Saccharomyces cerevisiae S288C: one gene and its partners. The protein of the gene in region 2 interacts with the protein of the main gene of each other region in a biochemical or structural test. Each region holds a gene or a part of one and is shown on either strand. Other genes may lie near its edges.

Region 1 (2,898 bases), on a different chromosome or scaffold from region 2:
TTGATTACATATACTAGCTATGCGTTGAACTTCAAAAATTTAAATAGGCTTCACCCCAGAAATGATGTTAATGACAATAGTAATTAACCTACAGATAGACTAGAAATGAAAAAGGTACGGTTAACGTTGACGCTCCCTCGACAAGTTAGGTCAAATATGAACCACAACTGAAATATATGCGGGATATACCCGCGCTTGCGTGCATGTAACTAAGCAAAAATTCTCCATACTGTTCGAGGAAAAAAATGTTCATGAATCTCCCCTGAATAAATTAAATTAAGGTTTACGATTCGAGTTGTTTGGAAAAAAAAAAAAAGGTTCCCCTGTACTGTTGCCAACAATAGTCTTATATCTTATATCAGTAAATCTATGTTATTAGAGATAGAATATACATATATTTTATTGTATTCTTTCTTAAATACATTGTATCTAATATTCTTTTCATCGTCCAATCCCATATAAATCTTGCTTCTCTTTTTCAGCTGAGTAAGGACTTCTGTTTATACAGCGTATTTCTTTGTCCATTCTCTGGCTGTAGCTTCGTACTTGGGTCTGTCAGTCTTGTAGATATGAGCGATTTCTGGTACTAAAGGATCGTCAGGATTAGCGTCTGTTAACAAAGAACAGATGGATAATAGGACCTTCGATAGAGTTAGAGCTGGAGACCATTGATCCTTTAGGATGTCCAGACAGATGTTACCATTGGCATTGATATTTGGATGATATATCTTGGTTGTGAAGGAGATCTTTGGTGGCTTGAATGGGTAGTCGGTTGGGAAATGGATAGACAAGAAGAAAACACCGCCGGCATATGGGGAATCGGCAGGTCCCATGATGGATGCTTGCCAGTGATATAGATCATCGCCGACTGGACCGGCTGAACATGAAGTAGGTGGATCTCTAGTTCAATAGCATGTTGATTTTGTTAGTAAATAAGAGCATAAGTTTTAAAAAAAAAGCACGCATTTGAAACGTGGCCATAACTTTAGACATACCTTTCTAGATCACTTAGTTCTTTAGCAATACGTTTAGAAGAAGACATGTTTTTTTGGATGCTTGTTTATGTATGTACTCTATAGTCAGTGAAATTTATTTACTTGTGGCGATAGTGATTTTCCTGGCTTCTTTACTTTATTTTTTTTCAGGATAGATTTATTCTCTGGATTATTTATTAAGATGAAAAATAAGAATAAAGAAAAAGAAAGAAGGATGAAGAAAAAAGAAAAATACAGGCCAAGGCCTTTCAAGGTGAGCTGTTGCCAGGTTTTTCCGCAGCGGGAAAAATCTCGCAGACCATGTGACCGCCGGTACTCCTTTTCCTGTTGCTCGGCCATTTGATCCTCGCTTCGAGAAAAACTATAACAATTGATTAGTGCGGAGAGGAGGATAGGCGGTAAGATCAGTTTTGTTTATTGTATAAATGAGATACTTTGGAATAAGGACATTAGCCTTATGTTACATCATTTCTTATCACGTAAGACTACTTATTGTCAAACTTTTTATGAAGTCATAAGGTGGACATATGAATAGTGCAGTTACCCTTGTTCAGGAATGACACCTTGTGCATTCCAGTGAGAAAGGAATGTTGACTAAAACAGTAGCTGTGCTTTTTTTTTTCTTTTTTGCCTTTTTATTCTTAATGTTCAAGAAAACTTTCTTTCCATGGAATGTATGAGGACCCTTTATTTTGAGGAATGGGTTCGAATTTATCATGCAAATTGGCAAGAATTTACTAAGTGGACTATATTTAAAGAGTTGAATTTTACGGTGAAAGTAAATTAACGCTACTTCTGTTGTTTTGGAAAAGCCAAGTTCAAGTTTCTTTTCTTGATTATTTATTCTCGTAACGATTTCGCTTTTCCTCTCTATATATTTTCCTACTCCATTCTGTAAAGAGCTTCCAGAACAAAATATAAATAAATAAAAAAAACTTCTCTTCAGGCAAGAGTACGTTCTTCGCTGGTTTCCTACAGAATCAAAAGAGTACTGCAGCTTATTGTACACACTTACAATATTCAAAACATGTGTGGCCTACTCGGTTCCTGGCAAGGTTAAGCCAAGTGGTGTAGTTACCAGAAAAAAGTGAACACATACAAGATACGATGCGTAAGTACATAAGGTATGACAGCCTGTAACAAATCCACGTTAGATTTATATCTTCTAGGCTGAGAATCTGGCAGGTTTTAGCAAAACATATATAACTTGCTCTCATTAAGCGGGCTCACTGCTTAAGCGATTGTTACCTGGAACTACAGGCAAGTACAATAGCCTCCTCCAGCTTTTGACTCTGAAAAAAAGGTAACGAAAGAAACTTTTCACACAGATAGGAACTATTCTAATATTACAGTAAAGCCAGCTATGGAATAACAGGTGGCATGTGCCCACTGTATTCATGTATGAGCGGCCTTTTTTTTCCACGAAAACAGATATGATGATGTTTTAGGCCAAAATGGTGAGATCCTTTTACAGGAAGATTTTACGCCAACTCTTTCCATTTAGTGACACAGGTGAGGGTCTTTTATCGGCGCAAGGTGTTTCAGATGAGCCATTTTGCCCGTAGTCCGGTTTAATCAGCCTCATTGGAATTCCCCGGCACCGCTCGCATTCCGCGTACGACTCAAAGAATTTCCCATTGAATTCGGGAATGTGCGTGTTTCAGATTGCGTTTGCTTATTATTCTGGGAAACTCTCCGGAAACAAGCTGAGCTGGACTCCACGAATGGTCCCTCACAAGGCTCTTGGCTCATGCACAGTTAAAAAGCACCTGTAGCTACCATCAGCAATCCATGGTGCTGGAGTTTCTCTCGATGGTACGGCCCATAGCTGGAGAAAATAGCTTATTACCAAAAAAGTAATTCCCCCGCAGAGGTATATATTAAGTTTGAAACAAAAGGCTTG
Region 2 (5,552 bases):
TGTTACGAGGGATATATGATGCCTGTGCTTGTTAGTTCATTATAAGTGCTAATAAAATACTAACGTTAATAAAAATTTGGAATATTATTTCATTTTTTATCCTATTAATAGGCCGGTGTTAAAGCTTACGAACTAAGAACCAAATCCAAGGAACAATTGGCTTCTCAATTGGTTGACTTGAAAAAGGAGTTGGCTGAATTGAAGGTCCAAAAGTTGTCCAGACCATCTTTGCCAAAGATCAAGACCGTCAGAAAGAGTATCGCCTGTGTCTTGACCGTCATCAACGAACAACAAAGAGAAGCTGTTAGACAATTATACAAGGGTAAGAAGTACCAACCAAAGGACTTGAGAGCCAAGAAGACCAGAGCTTTGAGAAGAGCTTTGACCAAATTCGAAGCTTCCCAAGTTACCGAAAAGCAAAGAAAGAAGCAAATCGCTTTCCCACAAAGAAAGTACGCTATTAAGGCTTAATTGGAAGTTCAATTATATACTATCATTATCTATAGTTCCAACTTTTCTACGTTTTTCTAGCACCTTTTAAATAATTGTTAAATTAAAACATTTTCATCGAAAATCTTCAAAATATAAGACACATTGAGCGATGAAATAAGCCTTATTTGATTAGGGTCAATTTTGCAATTTATTCTATCACTTATTCATTCACTCGCTTGCTTTATGTTTTGCTTCTTCCTTTTTTTGTTTTTTGAAACAAAGAATCTTTTGCCTTAACTCTTCATTAGGTGTTACATCCTCTAGTTTTAAAGGCATTCTATTAAACGGGTCAGTAGAGTCACTAAGCAGATGTGCTTTGATCGTGCTTCTATCAATATTCATCTTGGATGCTGGTAAAATGACAGGATCCTTCATAATTGTGTACATCAAAGGATCTAAGAACTCGTCAGGAACATCACCATACTCAAGATCTTCCTCTTCATCAGCCTTTCTTTGCTCTTCGGCTTTATTGGCAAAGTTCAATAGTTTTTCGATGAACTCTGGAGATGCTAAACCAGTTTTTCTACCAAGAATATCAACTGCGCGAACAAAGAGATTTCTATTAAATGATCTTTCATCTTTAGCGACAGCACTGATGAACTCTGATTGCTCGGAAAGATTGATATAAACAGTTGTTAAGGCTTTCAACAAATCTTTTGGGTTGAATGAATAACTTTGTGGGTCTTTCACTTTTAGTTCCCCGCATTTGGGACCGACAAGTGACTCTAAGTTATAGTTTAGCATACTTGCCAGTCTATATACGATTTCTGGTGTGACAAATGCAGCCGGTATATCCTTCGAATAGATTTCGAACAGTTTCATCGATTTATCGGCCAATCCACACGAGGACTTAGCTTGCCTGGAAGCAGACGCCAATCTTGTTTGTAGTTCTTTGTCCTCTTCCTCTCTTGTTGGTGGCGCGCCCCTTGCACGATTATCCAGCTCATTTTGGATATTATGCACCTCAGCCAAATTACTTAGGCCTTCATCCAACAGGAAAGTCAAGTCATTCAACATACGAGCAACGAACCTCACAAAAAAGTCAGCATTGTTTTGAGACTGCCAGATCAATTGGTTTTTATAAGATGGTATCTTGTAATAAAGCTCCTCCAAAATTATTGATATGCTATATCTGCTGTTGAATTTATCGTAAAATTGTGAAGAAGAGCCTGTTTTTTCAACAATAACATAAAAGTCTAGTAGAGCATATAACAGATTCTTGTTAACTAATTCGTCGTGTTCGAATATATCCATCATGAATCCGGGGGAATTGTCTGTTAGAGGCATAGCACCAACGCTTAATAACTGCACTAATTTACCTTTTAAATGTGGGTTGGAAACCAATTCAGGACAACGGAGGACCATTGTTGTAAACTCAACAAACGATCCCAGACGTGGATTTCTGAAGATTGGAGAGGTCTGGTACTTCGAAATGTATAGAGAATAGTTAACTGGACCTTCTACAACAAATTCTGGATAGTATTTAAAAGGCACTGGAGCATGCGCTCTCAAAAAATCAGCGTTGTCCACGTTTTCAACACCTATTTGGTCCGGAATTAATGGCAATTTAATTTGTTTAAACGGAAATTCGTGTTCAGGATCCACAACACGAATCAAGAACGTAGATGCACCACAAATAAAGTCGAAAACCTCTAGTTGAAGAGATCTATGAGCGAAGAACCCTTGAAGAGCAAATCGCAAAGATTCTGTTGTTTTCAACGCCTTCTCCATCTTGGATAATTGTGCTGTAATGAATCTGGCAAAGACATCGTGGTTCGCAGCTATTTTCTTTACTTTTTCAATTTCTTCCTTTAACGCTTTGATTTCAGATCCCATCTTCTCTTCAAATGATAATGTACCTCCCAGACCATAATGCAAATAGGTTAATGTCAAGAAAAAGCAATCAGAGATGAAGTTTGGCTTAGAATCTGCTGTTTTTCTGTTCTTGTCATAAAATGCATCTGCCTCTTTAAAATCAGAATTTAATCGTGTTTCCCCTGATAAATCAATAAATAAACTTGGGTTGTTGAAGTAATTTGCGTCGATCTTGTCGATTTTCTTATATGAAATATCTAGAAATGGTTGAGAAAATCTAACCAATAACAAAGTGATATTGGACATAAATCCGTTAGAGGATAGTTCTTTGAATGGTGGATGATCGGCTCTACGTAAATGGTTTTTATTAGCGATATGGGCAAAATAACTAATCATATCAGTCCTTGAGTTTAAGGAGCCACGAACAAGCTTATCGACAATAAAAAAGAGTCTATCTATGACAACTTTATGCTCAGCTTGTAGAGATTCATGGATCATGGCTGTCTGTTGTTTGGAACGCAAAAGGTTATCGCCGTAGTTCCGGATTGCCACAGCAGCTTCTATGGGAGAAAGAGATAAAATAGGCCCCAATATCGTTTTCCTTTCAAAATCCTGTGGTTTACAGCTATAGTCTGCAAAAAAACCATCTATTTTAGTGAATATTTCTGCAATAGGTTTAAATGTAACAAATAACTCAAAAATGGTAAGAACGTTATTGTAAATTACAGATTCGTTCAAATCAAAATGGCTGACATGTTTATTACAGTATTCTAATAATGTCGGGAAAACAGCGTTAAGTAAATCCAAAGCGGTACCTTCTAATATGGCTCTTTGAATGATTTGGGAAAGGAAATCAGTATATGAGTTAACGTTAGAAACAATTCCAGTGATATAATTGATGAAAGCACCATTCATGCAAAAGTTTTCTATTTGTAAGGCAACGACACCATAGCCAATGACAAGACGATCAATCTCTTGGAAAGTGGAATGTAATGACTCAGCATTTGGCTTGTTTTTGGTGATTCTTTTTTGTTGCTGATTACGGCGAAAGCAATCGTTCAAATATTCAAACGGTTTATCCAACTTCTCATTCTCGGTGAGTTGATATAATAGTAGCGTATCAATAAAATCAACTCCAAGAGTTGAGCCTTGAGGCACTTCCTCGGACTTCAATAGAGAGTAGCCACGGGTATCGGAAGGATCGGTGGTGATTTGTAAAATATCTTCTATGGCGGTCATGATCTATGGAATGAGGGTTCTACTTTCAAAGTTAACTTTTCCCCTTAAACAACTTGTGGTCAACTTTACCTTTCTATTGGCTGACACAATTCTCAAAGATATAATTAACGTTTACTGTGGCAACAGCAAGTGGTTGAGTCTAAAAATGTGAATAAAATGGCAATTACTTAATGATTAACAATGATTGCGGCGTACACCTCTATTATTTTGTTGCCAATGGTTAGAATCTACCTTTGATCTTCAATTCACCTTTTGTAATAAAGACAGACTATCGCCTCTGACGAATACTGACAAAATAGCGTCCTCGACGAAAGGATGAATCGTTAAGCGCAAAATAATATTGATATAATAAGAATATCGATTAAGAAGCGTTGGCTAGTGTCATATGCGGGTTAGCCTATCTGTTTCTTCTTTCTTTCACATACAACTCGACAAGTTTTGGCGTAGGCAATTGAGCCATATTGTACCAGCAAGCCGTGGTGACAGTATGTTGAAACGTGCATCTTATAATGGGCGCACGATTTATTTTATTTTAATTAATTTTTTAGTTATTTCGTATCGTACTAACAACTAAGATATTCAAGTCTCTTCAAGTATATAAGGAGTTAGGGCAGAAGTAGGTGATGACAGCACTAGATTCTCGAAACTGGGGATTGACACCCGCTATGGAAACGGGCTTGTTCCAGAAACCACAGGACCGTATCTTTATAATAGAGCTGGAAAATTCCATAGTGTCATTCATAAACTCAAACACAGAATCATTTCAGCTAAGACCGATGAATTCATATTATAGGCTTCTATCGCACCAAATAGCTGAGTACCACAACTTGAACCATGTTTTGGCAAGAACTCAAGATAGTTGTGTGATTCTTTTCAAAGGTGAGAATTTCCAAAAGATTGAAGGAAAGCCACTCTTACAAGAGTTGCAGCTGAACAAAAAACCGGAAGAGTGTGCTTCCTCAAGTGAGAGTATTGAAAAATCGAACAATAACAGAATATTTCGAATCTTAAAGCGGAAAGAGGTAGGTAACGAGTGCGATTATAAAATCGATGGCAATACACGTACACCAAATAGCAATTTGACAGCCAATTCAAATAAGGACCAAAAAATCGAAATCGATGATAAATCTAGTACTGATTTGGAACAAGAAAGAATTGAGAAGGAAAGACTTTATGAACAACGTAAACAAGAAATTTTTGATAAGCTCAACAAGAGTGAAGACGATGTAAAGTCAACCAACAGTAGCGGTAGTAGTGATAGTGACAATGAATGGAGTGATTGGTTGAACGGAGATGACTCTAACACACAAACTAGTAACGGTTCAGTTAGCTCTTCATCACCATTCAATTCATCTGTGACGACGATACAAGTAAACAAACCTCAACAACAATTTTATGATAGTCGAAGAGGAAGAGGAGGAAGAAGAAGAGGAACAAACAATTACAAAGATGCCTATAGAGGCCAAAGTCGTCGGAATAAAGAAAACGGCGGTTACCAATCGGGATATTCTTCGCCATATCTTGTGTATCCTCCTCCCCAAATGGGTGGCAATAGTCTGCCAACCTACCCTCTAATGTATAACCCCGCTGGTCCTGCCCCCGGTCCTGCACCTTCACCCATGGTAATGGGCAATAACACAGTCTTCATGAACCCTTACATGTACAATATGAATCCCCAAGGGTCCTGTTCGTTTGGCACCCCAATCCCTATGTATCCCCCATACCAATATCAATATCAATACCAATATAACACTCAGTATCACAGCGGGCCATATAGCAATACACCAAGCTATAATTCTAACAATTACACAAGATCCTCAGCAAATAAGTACCACCATTTTCAAGGAAAAAATTCATATTCTGGTGCGATTCCGAAACGTAGTGATGACAGTAACAGTAATAAGAATGAGGGAATTCGTAGGGCTAGTGTTGAGGGTTCGCCGTCATCTAGGGATACTGATTCGGTAGAGATGAAATTTGATAAATTAAACATTTAGCGTGAGGAG
Region 3 (3,860 bases), on a different chromosome or scaffold from region 2:
ATAATAACAGAAAACTCTCGTTCAACCCTACCACAGTAAGTATCGCTGGAACGTTGCTTACGGTGTTCTTTCTCACAAGACTCGTGCTTTCGTTCTTCTCGATATCGCTATTCCAGCTGGTAACTTTCCAAGGAATCTTCAAGCCCTATGTTCCAGATTTTAAAAATACTCCCAGCGTAGAGTTCTACGACCTACGAAATTACCAAGGCAACAAAGATGGTTGGCAACAGGGTGACCGCATCTTGTTTTGCGTGCCACTGAGAGATGCTTCTGAGCATCTTCCCATGTTTTTTAACCATCTGAATACCATGACATATCCGCACAACCTGATTGATCTGTCGTTTTTGGTGAGTGACTCTTCGGATAACACCATGGGCGTGTTACTATCCAATCTACAGATGGCGCAATCGCAACAAGACAAGTCCAAAAGGTTTGGTAACATCGAAATCTATGAGAAGGACTTCGGCCAAATCATTGGTCAGTCCTTTTCTGATCGTCACGGGTTTGGCGCCCAGGGCCCCAGAAGAAAGCTGATGGCCAGGGCTCGTAATTGGCTTGGGTCCGTGGCCCTGAAACCATACCACTCCTGGGTTTACTGGAGAGACGTGGATGTCGAAACCATCCCCACTACCATCATGGAGGATCTAATGCATCACGACAAGGACGTCATTGTCCCCAACGTCTGGAGACCTTTACCAGACTGGCTGGGAAACATTCAACCCTACGATTTAAATTCATGGAAGGAATCAGAAGGGGGTCTTCAATTGGCGGATTCCCTAGACGAAGATGCTGTCATTGTGGAAGGGTACCCAGAGTACGCCACTTGGAGACCTCACCTGGCATACATGAGAGACCCAAACGGTAATCCAGAAGACGAAATGGAATTGGACGGTATTGGAGGGGTCTCGATTCTCGCGAAAGCTAAAGTATTCAGAACAGGCTCACACTTTCCTGCATTCTCCTTTGAAAAGCACGCAGAGACAGAAGCATTCGGTAGGCTCTCCCGCAGGATGAATTACAATGTCATCGGCTTGCCCCATTATGTCATCTGGCACATCTACGAACCTTCCAGCGACGACTTAAAGCACATGGCTTGGATGGCTGAAGAGGAGAAGCGGAAACTAGAAGAAGAGAGAATTCGCGAATTTTACAACAAGATCTGGGAGATTGGATTTGAAGATGTCAGAGACCAATGGAACGAAGAAAGAGATTCAATCTTAAAAAACATTGACTCCACTTTGAACAATAAAGTCACTGTAGACTGGTCTGAAGAGGGAGATGGCTCGGAGCTGGTGGACTCAAAGGGTGACTTTGTCTCACCAAACAACCAACAACAACAACAACAGCAACAACAACAACAACAGCAGCAGCAGCAACAGCAACAGCAACAACAGCTCGACGGCAACCCGCAGGGGAAACCTCTTGATGACAACGACAAGAACAAGAAAAAACATCCTAAAGAAGTTCCATTAGACTTCGACCCTGATAGAAACTAGGCTCGGTTTTTTAGTGACCTACATATGAAGTACGAATTCATATAGTTGTACATATATACCGATAATAATATCAAACCTCTATTCTTTGGTCTTTAACTTTTCTTTGAGTGAATTACAATACCATTGTTATATCAATCACTATACACGGCTCGGTGGCGAAATTGAAATTTTTTTATTTTCTTCTCTTTCATTATGGCTAGGCAAGAAATAGCGACAGCAAAACTTAAGAAAAAATGATAGAACAAGGTCCCATCCAGTATTGACTAGTAGCTAAAGCTAGAAGGTACACTTAGGTTTTTCTCCCTGTTTTTAAGTTTGAACCATTGATAAGGCCGTTCGCAGACAAGCTTGCTACCATCCAATTTTCCTTCCTCTAAAGACTTAATAAAGGCATCTAACTCCACCTTTAAATCACAGATCACACAAAGACAACATACAATAGAAAAATGGTTAGCTTAACCTTTAAAAATTTCAAGAAGGAAAAAGTTCCTTTAGATCTGGAACCTTCAAACACAATTTTAGAGACCAAGACCAAGCTTGCTCAATCCATTTCTTGTGAAGAATCTCAAATAAAACTGATCTACTCGGGTAAAGTGCTACAAGATTCCAAAACCGTATCGGAATGCGGGCTAAAAGATGGGGACCAAGTTGTCTTCATGGTTTCTCAAAAAAAGTCCACGAAGACCAAAGTAACAGAACCTCCAATTGCTCCTGAGAGCGCCACTACCCCCGGAAGAGAAAATTCTACAGAAGCATCCCCCAGTACGGATGCTTCTGCAGCTCCTGCAGCCACTGCTCCCGAAGGCTCACAACCGCAAGAAGAACAAACCGCCACTACAGAACGTACTGAATCTGCCTCTACACCGGGATTCGTGGTGGGAACCGAGAGGAACGAGACCATCGAGAGAATCATGGAAATGGGCTACCAAAGAGAGGAAGTCGAACGAGCCTTGAGAGCAGCCTTTAATAATCCAGATAGAGCGGTGGAATATCTACTGATGGGTATTCCAGAAAATCTGCGTCAACCGGAACCACAGCAACAAACAGCCGCCGCAGCGGAACAACCATCGACAGCCGCCACCACTGCGGAACAACCGGCTGAAGACGACTTATTTGCACAAGCTGCCCAAGGCGGTAATGCTTCATCCGGTGCGCTTGGCACAACTGGAGGAGCTACAGATGCTGCGCAAGGTGGACCTCCAGGTTCCATTGGCCTCACTGTAGAAGATTTACTATCGTTGAGACAGGTCGTTTCAGGTAACCCAGAAGCTTTAGCCCCATTGTTGGAAAACATAAGTGCTAGATATCCTCAATTACGTGAACATATCATGGCAAACCCAGAAGTGTTTGTGTCCATGTTGCTAGAAGCCGTGGGTGACAATATGCAAGATGTTATGGAAGGTGCGGATGATATGGTGGAAGGAGAGGATATAGAAGTTACAGGAGAGGCTGCTGCTGCAGGACTGGGACAAGGTGAAGGTGAAGGTTCTTTCCAAGTTGACTATACCCCCGAAGACGATCAAGCTATTTCGCGCCTCTGTGAATTGGGCTTTGAAAGAGATCTTGTTATCCAGGTGTATTTTGCGTGCGATAAAAACGAAGAAGCTGCAGCAAATATTCTATTCAGCGATCATGCCGACTGAGATTGTAGTAATGTTATGGCTTGAAGTATCTTCACTTATTCTCGACAATGTTGCATGATTTTTGAGCCAAGGGAAAAAAAAAGCTTACGTAGAAATCAATAACGTATGTGTATTTATATATGCTAGAAGGGAAAGAAAAGAAAACAGAGAGATGGTAATATTAATCTCAATAATAATAATAATAATAATAATAACAATAATAATAATAATAACAACAACAAATAATGATTATACTGCTTTTAGCGCATATATACAGTTTTGTTAAAGAGTTTCAAAATTCTTGTATACCTGGTACTTTTGCCCATCGGGGACAGGTGCATTACCAGGTCGGGAAGCTAACCCAGTAGCTATTCCAACGCCGGCCGCTGCGTCCAATTCCAATGGATTATCGCTCAAGAACAGTACCTCGCTAGCCTTCGCACCGATATCCCGCAAGATGTTGGCGTAAGACTGTGTTTCGGTTTTCTTTCCAGAAGTGTTGATGTCGAAATAACCATCTATATAAGAATTCAAATCCAACGAATCATGCGCAGGCGCGTTGGGATCCTGAACATACCCGAACAGCAATTTCTGTGCCTTTACAGATCCACTAGAGTAGATAAACACACGCTTCTTCCTCTTGATAAAGTCAATAGCATCTGCATAAACGGGCGCCTTAATCTGCCCAGATTCGTATCCGTGAGCCCAGACGTAGCCTTGCAACTGTTTCAAGATTGGATCC
Region 4 (5,030 bases), 120 kb from region 2:
GCAGCATCAATGTGAATAATGCCAGGTAACTTCAGAGCATAAACAATCTGTTCGACCAAACTGTTCGAAAAGGTAGCATCCGTTTCTTCGTTTTTATACCATCTAGTACCTGTCCCAATGATGGCGATTGCGGGGATTTTATTTCCATTATTCAAGGTAAAGAACTGTTGGTGAAATGACATCTGTAAAAGTGTTGTTAACTGACCTCCGTTTCTTTAGGGTAACACAACCGTTTACATGTGTATCCATATCCACGTAGTATCCGACTATCAATATATCCGTATATATATATATATATATATGGGATGAGCGTATGTGAGTGTTTTCGTAGATATTCAAAATACGAGTAAAGGAGATCCTAGGTGTGGATTAGTAAGGGGAGTGTGGCAACTTCCTTTTTCCGGTTAATTCTCCGCGCTTTCGTTAGACTATTTTGCAAGGACCCAAATAGGAGACGCATGGAGGCTTCTACAAAACAGCGTGCCGTTTTGATGGCATGAGCAGGGGGCGCAAAGGAAACACCGGTAAATCGCGCAAGACCTTGTTGGCCACGTAGCCTCAAAGGTTGAATTGACACTTGTCTACAGAACTTGAAAAGTACAAAAGGAGGTCACATAAAACAGTAAGCTTGAGAAGCTTTAAGATATGGTGCGAATCGTTACAGAATATTCCTTGCAGAAATAATGGCGGGTCCGTTCTCTTCTGAAGAAGTTACCGCCCTACTGAAGCATTGCTGTACGATCGTGTAATGTGATGTGTGTTCGACTGGAAAGCGGAGAACATTATGAAGTAAAAGGACAATCAGCACGCCTTCCAGACTTTTAAGAAACATTGATGGAGCCATTGATATCGGCACCGTACCTAACAACAACAAAAATGTCTGCTCCTGCTACGCTTGATGCTGCCTGTATTTTTTGCAAGATTATTAAAAGTATGTCACATTACTAATAAAGAGCTTACACTCACACCAATGATGGCGATAGTCTCTATGTAGTACATATACATAAAGCAGAATACTAACAATCGATCCGCTATGCAACAGGCGAAATTCCATCCTTCAAATTGATTGAAACAAAGTACTCGTATGCTTTCTTGGACATCCAACCTACTGCTGAAGGTCATGCTTTAATCATTCCTAAGTACCATGGTGCGAAGTTGCATGACATCCCGGACGAATTCCTTACCGATGCTATGCCGATTGCCAAGAGACTGGCCAAGGCAATGAAGTTGGACACTTATAATGTGTTGCAGAATAATGGTAAAATTGCGCATCAAGAAGTCGACCACGTCCACTTCCATTTGATTCCTAAGAGAGATGAGAAAAGTGGTTTGATTGTAGGGTGGCCAGCCCAAGAAACGGACTTCGATAAGTTGGGCAAGCTACACAAGGAATTGCTTGCCAAACTAGAAGGCTCCGATTAGAGTAATGCATGCTATGATTTCTTTTAGCGTTTTCTTTTCATATTTAAGTTTATACATATGGGTGTGTTTGCTTCCATTCATATCCACTCTATAATGCTAACAATCATGTTACTAGCCATCGTTGCTATCGATACCTTATGAACAGCTCTAACTCCTTCCTTTTTAACCTACCGCCTTTTGCGCACTACCCGGCAACCCCTCGAATGTGAATTCGGTGGCAAAAAAGGACATATATCAGGGCCGTGTATTTAAGAGATCCGCAGTTGATGTAGTCAATTAATCTAGTTCTATTAAGATTTGACTCAACGCCATTGACTCGATAACTGGCTCAACTACAAGACAGATATACAAATCATGGGTGAAGAACATAAACCACTTTTGGACGCCTCGGGTGTCGACCCTCGTGAGGAGGATAAAACCGCCACCGCCATTTTAAGAAGAAAGAAGAAGGACAACATGCTTTTGGTGGACGATGCTATCAATGATGACAATTCTGTCATTGCTATTAATTCTAACACCATGGACAAATTGGAATTGTTCCGTGGTGACACCGTTCTCGTTAAGGGCAAGAAGAGAAAAGATACTGTCTTAATTGTGTTGATCGATGACGAATTAGAAGACGGAGCATGCAGGATAAACCGTGTAGTTCGTAACAATTTACGTATTAGGCTGGGTGATTTAGTTACAATTCATCCTTGCCCCGATATCAAATACGCTACTAGAATTTCTGTGTTACCAATTGCTGATACGATCGAAGGTATAACTGGTAATCTTTTCGATGTTTTTTTGAAGCCTTATTTTGTGGAAGCCTACAGACCAGTGAGGAAAGGCGACCATTTTGTTGTCAGAGGCGGTATGAGACAAGTCGAATTCAAGGTTGTGGATGTCGAACCTGAAGAATATGCCGTCGTTGCTCAGGATACTATTATTCACTGGGAAGGTGAGCCAATCAACAGGGAAGATGAAGAAAATAATATGAATGAGGTGGGTTACGATGATATTGGTGGTTGTCGTAAGCAAATGGCTCAAATTAGGGAAATGGTTGAACTACCATTGAGACATCCTCAGTTGTTCAAGGCTATCGGTATCAAGCCACCAAGAGGTGTTTTGATGTATGGTCCCCCTGGTACTGGTAAAACCTTGATGGCAAGAGCTGTTGCTAATGAGACCGGTGCCTTTTTTTTCTTAATTAATGGTCCAGAAGTCATGTCAAAAATGGCTGGTGAATCAGAGTCTAACTTAAGAAAGGCCTTTGAAGAAGCCGAAAAGAACGCTCCAGCCATCATTTTTATCGATGAAATCGATTCTATAGCTCCAAAGAGAGACAAGACTAATGGTGAAGTTGAGAGAAGAGTTGTCTCTCAATTGTTAACTTTAATGGATGGTATGAAGGCAAGATCTAATGTTGTTGTCATTGCTGCTACCAATAGACCAAATTCGATTGATCCCGCTTTAAGAAGATTTGGTAGATTCGATCGTGAAGTCGACATTGGTATCCCAGATGCTACAGGTAGACTTGAAGTTCTACGTATTCACACCAAGAACATGAAGTTGGCTGATGATGTTGATTTGGAAGCATTGGCTGCTGAAACACACGGTTACGTGGGTGCTGATATTGCCTCTTTGTGTTCTGAAGCTGCCATGCAACAGATCCGTGAAAAAATGGACTTGATAGATTTAGATGAAGATGAAATTGATGCAGAGGTGCTCGATTCTTTAGGAGTCACCATGGACAACTTCAGATTCGCATTGGGCAATTCAAACCCATCTGCATTGCGTGAAACCGTTGTTGAAAGTGTCAATGTTACTTGGGATGACGTTGGTGGCCTAGATGAAATCAAGGAGGAATTGAAGGAAACTGTAGAATACCCAGTCTTACATCCAGACCAATACACAAAGTTTGGGTTATCACCATCAAAGGGTGTGTTGTTCTACGGTCCACCAGGTACAGGTAAAACTTTGTTAGCAAAAGCTGTAGCTACTGAGGTTTCTGCCAACTTTATCTCAGTCAAAGGTCCAGAATTATTGAGTATGTGGTATGGTGAATCGGAATCTAACATCCGTGATATTTTTGATAAGGCAAGAGCAGCTGCACCAACCGTCGTTTTTCTAGATGAATTAGACTCCATTGCCAAGGCAAGAGGTGGTTCCTTGGGTGATGCTGGTGGTGCTTCGGATAGAGTCGTCAACCAACTATTAACAGAAATGGATGGTATGAATGCTAAGAAAAATGTGTTCGTGATTGGTGCCACCAATAGGCCAGATCAAATTGATCCTGCTATTTTAAGACCTGGCAGATTGGATCAATTAATTTATGTTCCATTGCCAGATGAAAACGCTAGATTATCTATTCTAAATGCTCAATTAAGGAAAACACCACTAGAACCAGGGCTAGAGTTAACTGCGATTGCCAAGGCCACTCAAGGTTTCTCTGGTGCTGATTTACTCTATATTGTGCAGAGGGCTGCTAAATACGCTATCAAGGATTCTATCGAAGCTCACAGACAACACGAAGCTGAAAAGGAAGTGAAAGTAGAAGGTGAAGACGTGGAAATGACAGATGAGGGAGCAAAGGCTGAACAAGAACCAGAAGTAGATCCTGTTCCATATATTACAAAGGAGCATTTCGCAGAAGCTATGAAGACCGCTAAACGTTCTGTTTCAGATGCTGAATTGCGTCGTTATGAAGCATACTCACAGCAAATGAAAGCATCTAGAGGTCAATTCAGTAATTTCAACTTTAATGACGCTCCATTAGGTACTACGGCTACGGACAATGCTAACAGTAATAATAGTGCTCCAAGTGGAGCAGGTGCTGCATTTGGTTCTAATGCGGAGGAAGATGATGATTTGTATAGTTAGTTATATGCCAGGTATATTTTTATTTTAAATCGTAAATTCAAGTCATTTCTATAAAAAAAATCGTCAATTTTAACTCAATATTTTATGGCCCTTTTTATATTTATTTTCAAATTTGTCAAAAAAAGGAGAGCTAAATCATTAGAAAAAGAATGCATTATGGTATATTTATGTATATTAATATGTAAAATAAGAAAAAAGGGAGGCTGTAGGACCTCGGTCGTAAGAACATTTACCTGTGTTCTTCCGCCTTTTCCGAAAGTGCCATGAAGAAACGCAGGCCAGGCATAATTTCGACATTTAAAATCACGATTTGAAGTAATTTGACCAATTCGATTTCTTTACTTTTGTATCTTCTTTTATTATCTGTTTGTTTAACCCAGTTTTCAAGATCACAGGGCGCGCTTTACTAAAATTAAAAGGCTTAATTGTCGGTATTGGCCTATTTTCCTTGTTATCGTGTTTGGAGTCTATGTTGTATGTTCGCGGAGAAAACTTGTCGCTAATGTTATTGGATTCGTGTAGTTCGGGCAAAGTTCGTATTCTGTTACTATAATTGGATAAATTCGATCTTCTAGATTCCAACGTGGAGAGGGTCGAAGTGGAAGCTAAAGATGGGATAGACATATTGGACGATGAGCGCGAATGGGAAATGGATGTTTTGTTTACTATGTCTTTTTCTTGAGCAGAAAAATTTTTCAACGTGCGACAGTCTCTTTGCGATTTGTACAACTGCTCCTCTTTGATAG

What was found.
Region 1: the proteins of UFD2 (region 2) and UBC4 form a complex in vitro, tested with the Saccharomyces cerevisiae proteins (one study listed by BioGRID).
Region 3: the proteins of UFD2 (region 2) and RAD23 form a complex in vitro, tested with the Saccharomyces cerevisiae proteins (3 studies listed by BioGRID, with this or other methods).
Region 4: the proteins of UFD2 (region 2) and CDC48 form a complex in vitro, tested with the Saccharomyces cerevisiae proteins (5 studies listed by BioGRID, with this or other methods).

The regions. Positions count from the first base shown.
Region 1 is NC_001134.8:406,128-409,025, forward strand, and holds UBC4 (E2 ubiquitin-conjugating protein UBC4), read right to left. Parts: upstream 1,043-2,898; coding exon 996-1,042; intron 901-995; coding exon 501-900; downstream 1-500. UniProt on the Saccharomyces cerevisiae protein: E2 ubiquitin-conjugating enzyme that catalyzes the covalent attachment of ubiquitin to other proteins. Mediates the selective degradation of short-lived and abnormal proteins. Mediates ubiquitination of PEX5.
Region 2 is NC_001136.10:118,047-123,598, forward strand, and holds UFD2 (ubiquitin-ubiquitin ligase UFD2), read right to left. Parts: upstream 3,547-5,552; coding exon 661-3,546; downstream 1-660. Other genes in the region: 60S ribosomal protein uL29 RPL35A, read left to right, coding at 112-471; RBS1 (Rbs1p), read left to right, coding at 4,170-5,543. UniProt on the Saccharomyces cerevisiae protein: E4 ubiquitin chain-elongation enzyme specifically involved in polyubiquitin chain assembly.
Region 3 is NC_001137.3:80,686-84,545, reverse strand, and holds RAD23 (Rad23p), read left to right. Parts: upstream 1-1,942; coding exon 1,943-3,139; downstream 3,140-3,860. Other genes in the region: ANP1 (Anp1p), read left to right, coding at 1-1,496; putative acireductone synthase UTR4, read right to left, coding at 3,401-3,860. UniProt on the Saccharomyces cerevisiae protein: Plays a central role both in proteasomal degradation of misfolded proteins and DNA repair.
Region 4 is NC_001136.10:235,411-240,440, reverse strand, and holds CDC48 (AAA family ATPase CDC48), read left to right. Parts: upstream 1-1,776; coding exon 1,777-4,284; downstream 4,285-5,030. Other genes in the region: YDL124W (aldo-keto reductase superfamily protein), read right to left, coding at 1-182; HNT1 (adenosine 5'-monophosphoramidase), read left to right, coding at 835-931, 1,043-1,422; cyclin PCL2, read right to left, coding at 4,588-5,030. UniProt on the Saccharomyces cerevisiae protein: ATP-dependent chaperone which probably uses the energy provided by ATP hydrolysis to generate mechanical force to unfold substrate proteins, disassemble protein complexes, and disaggregate protein aggregates.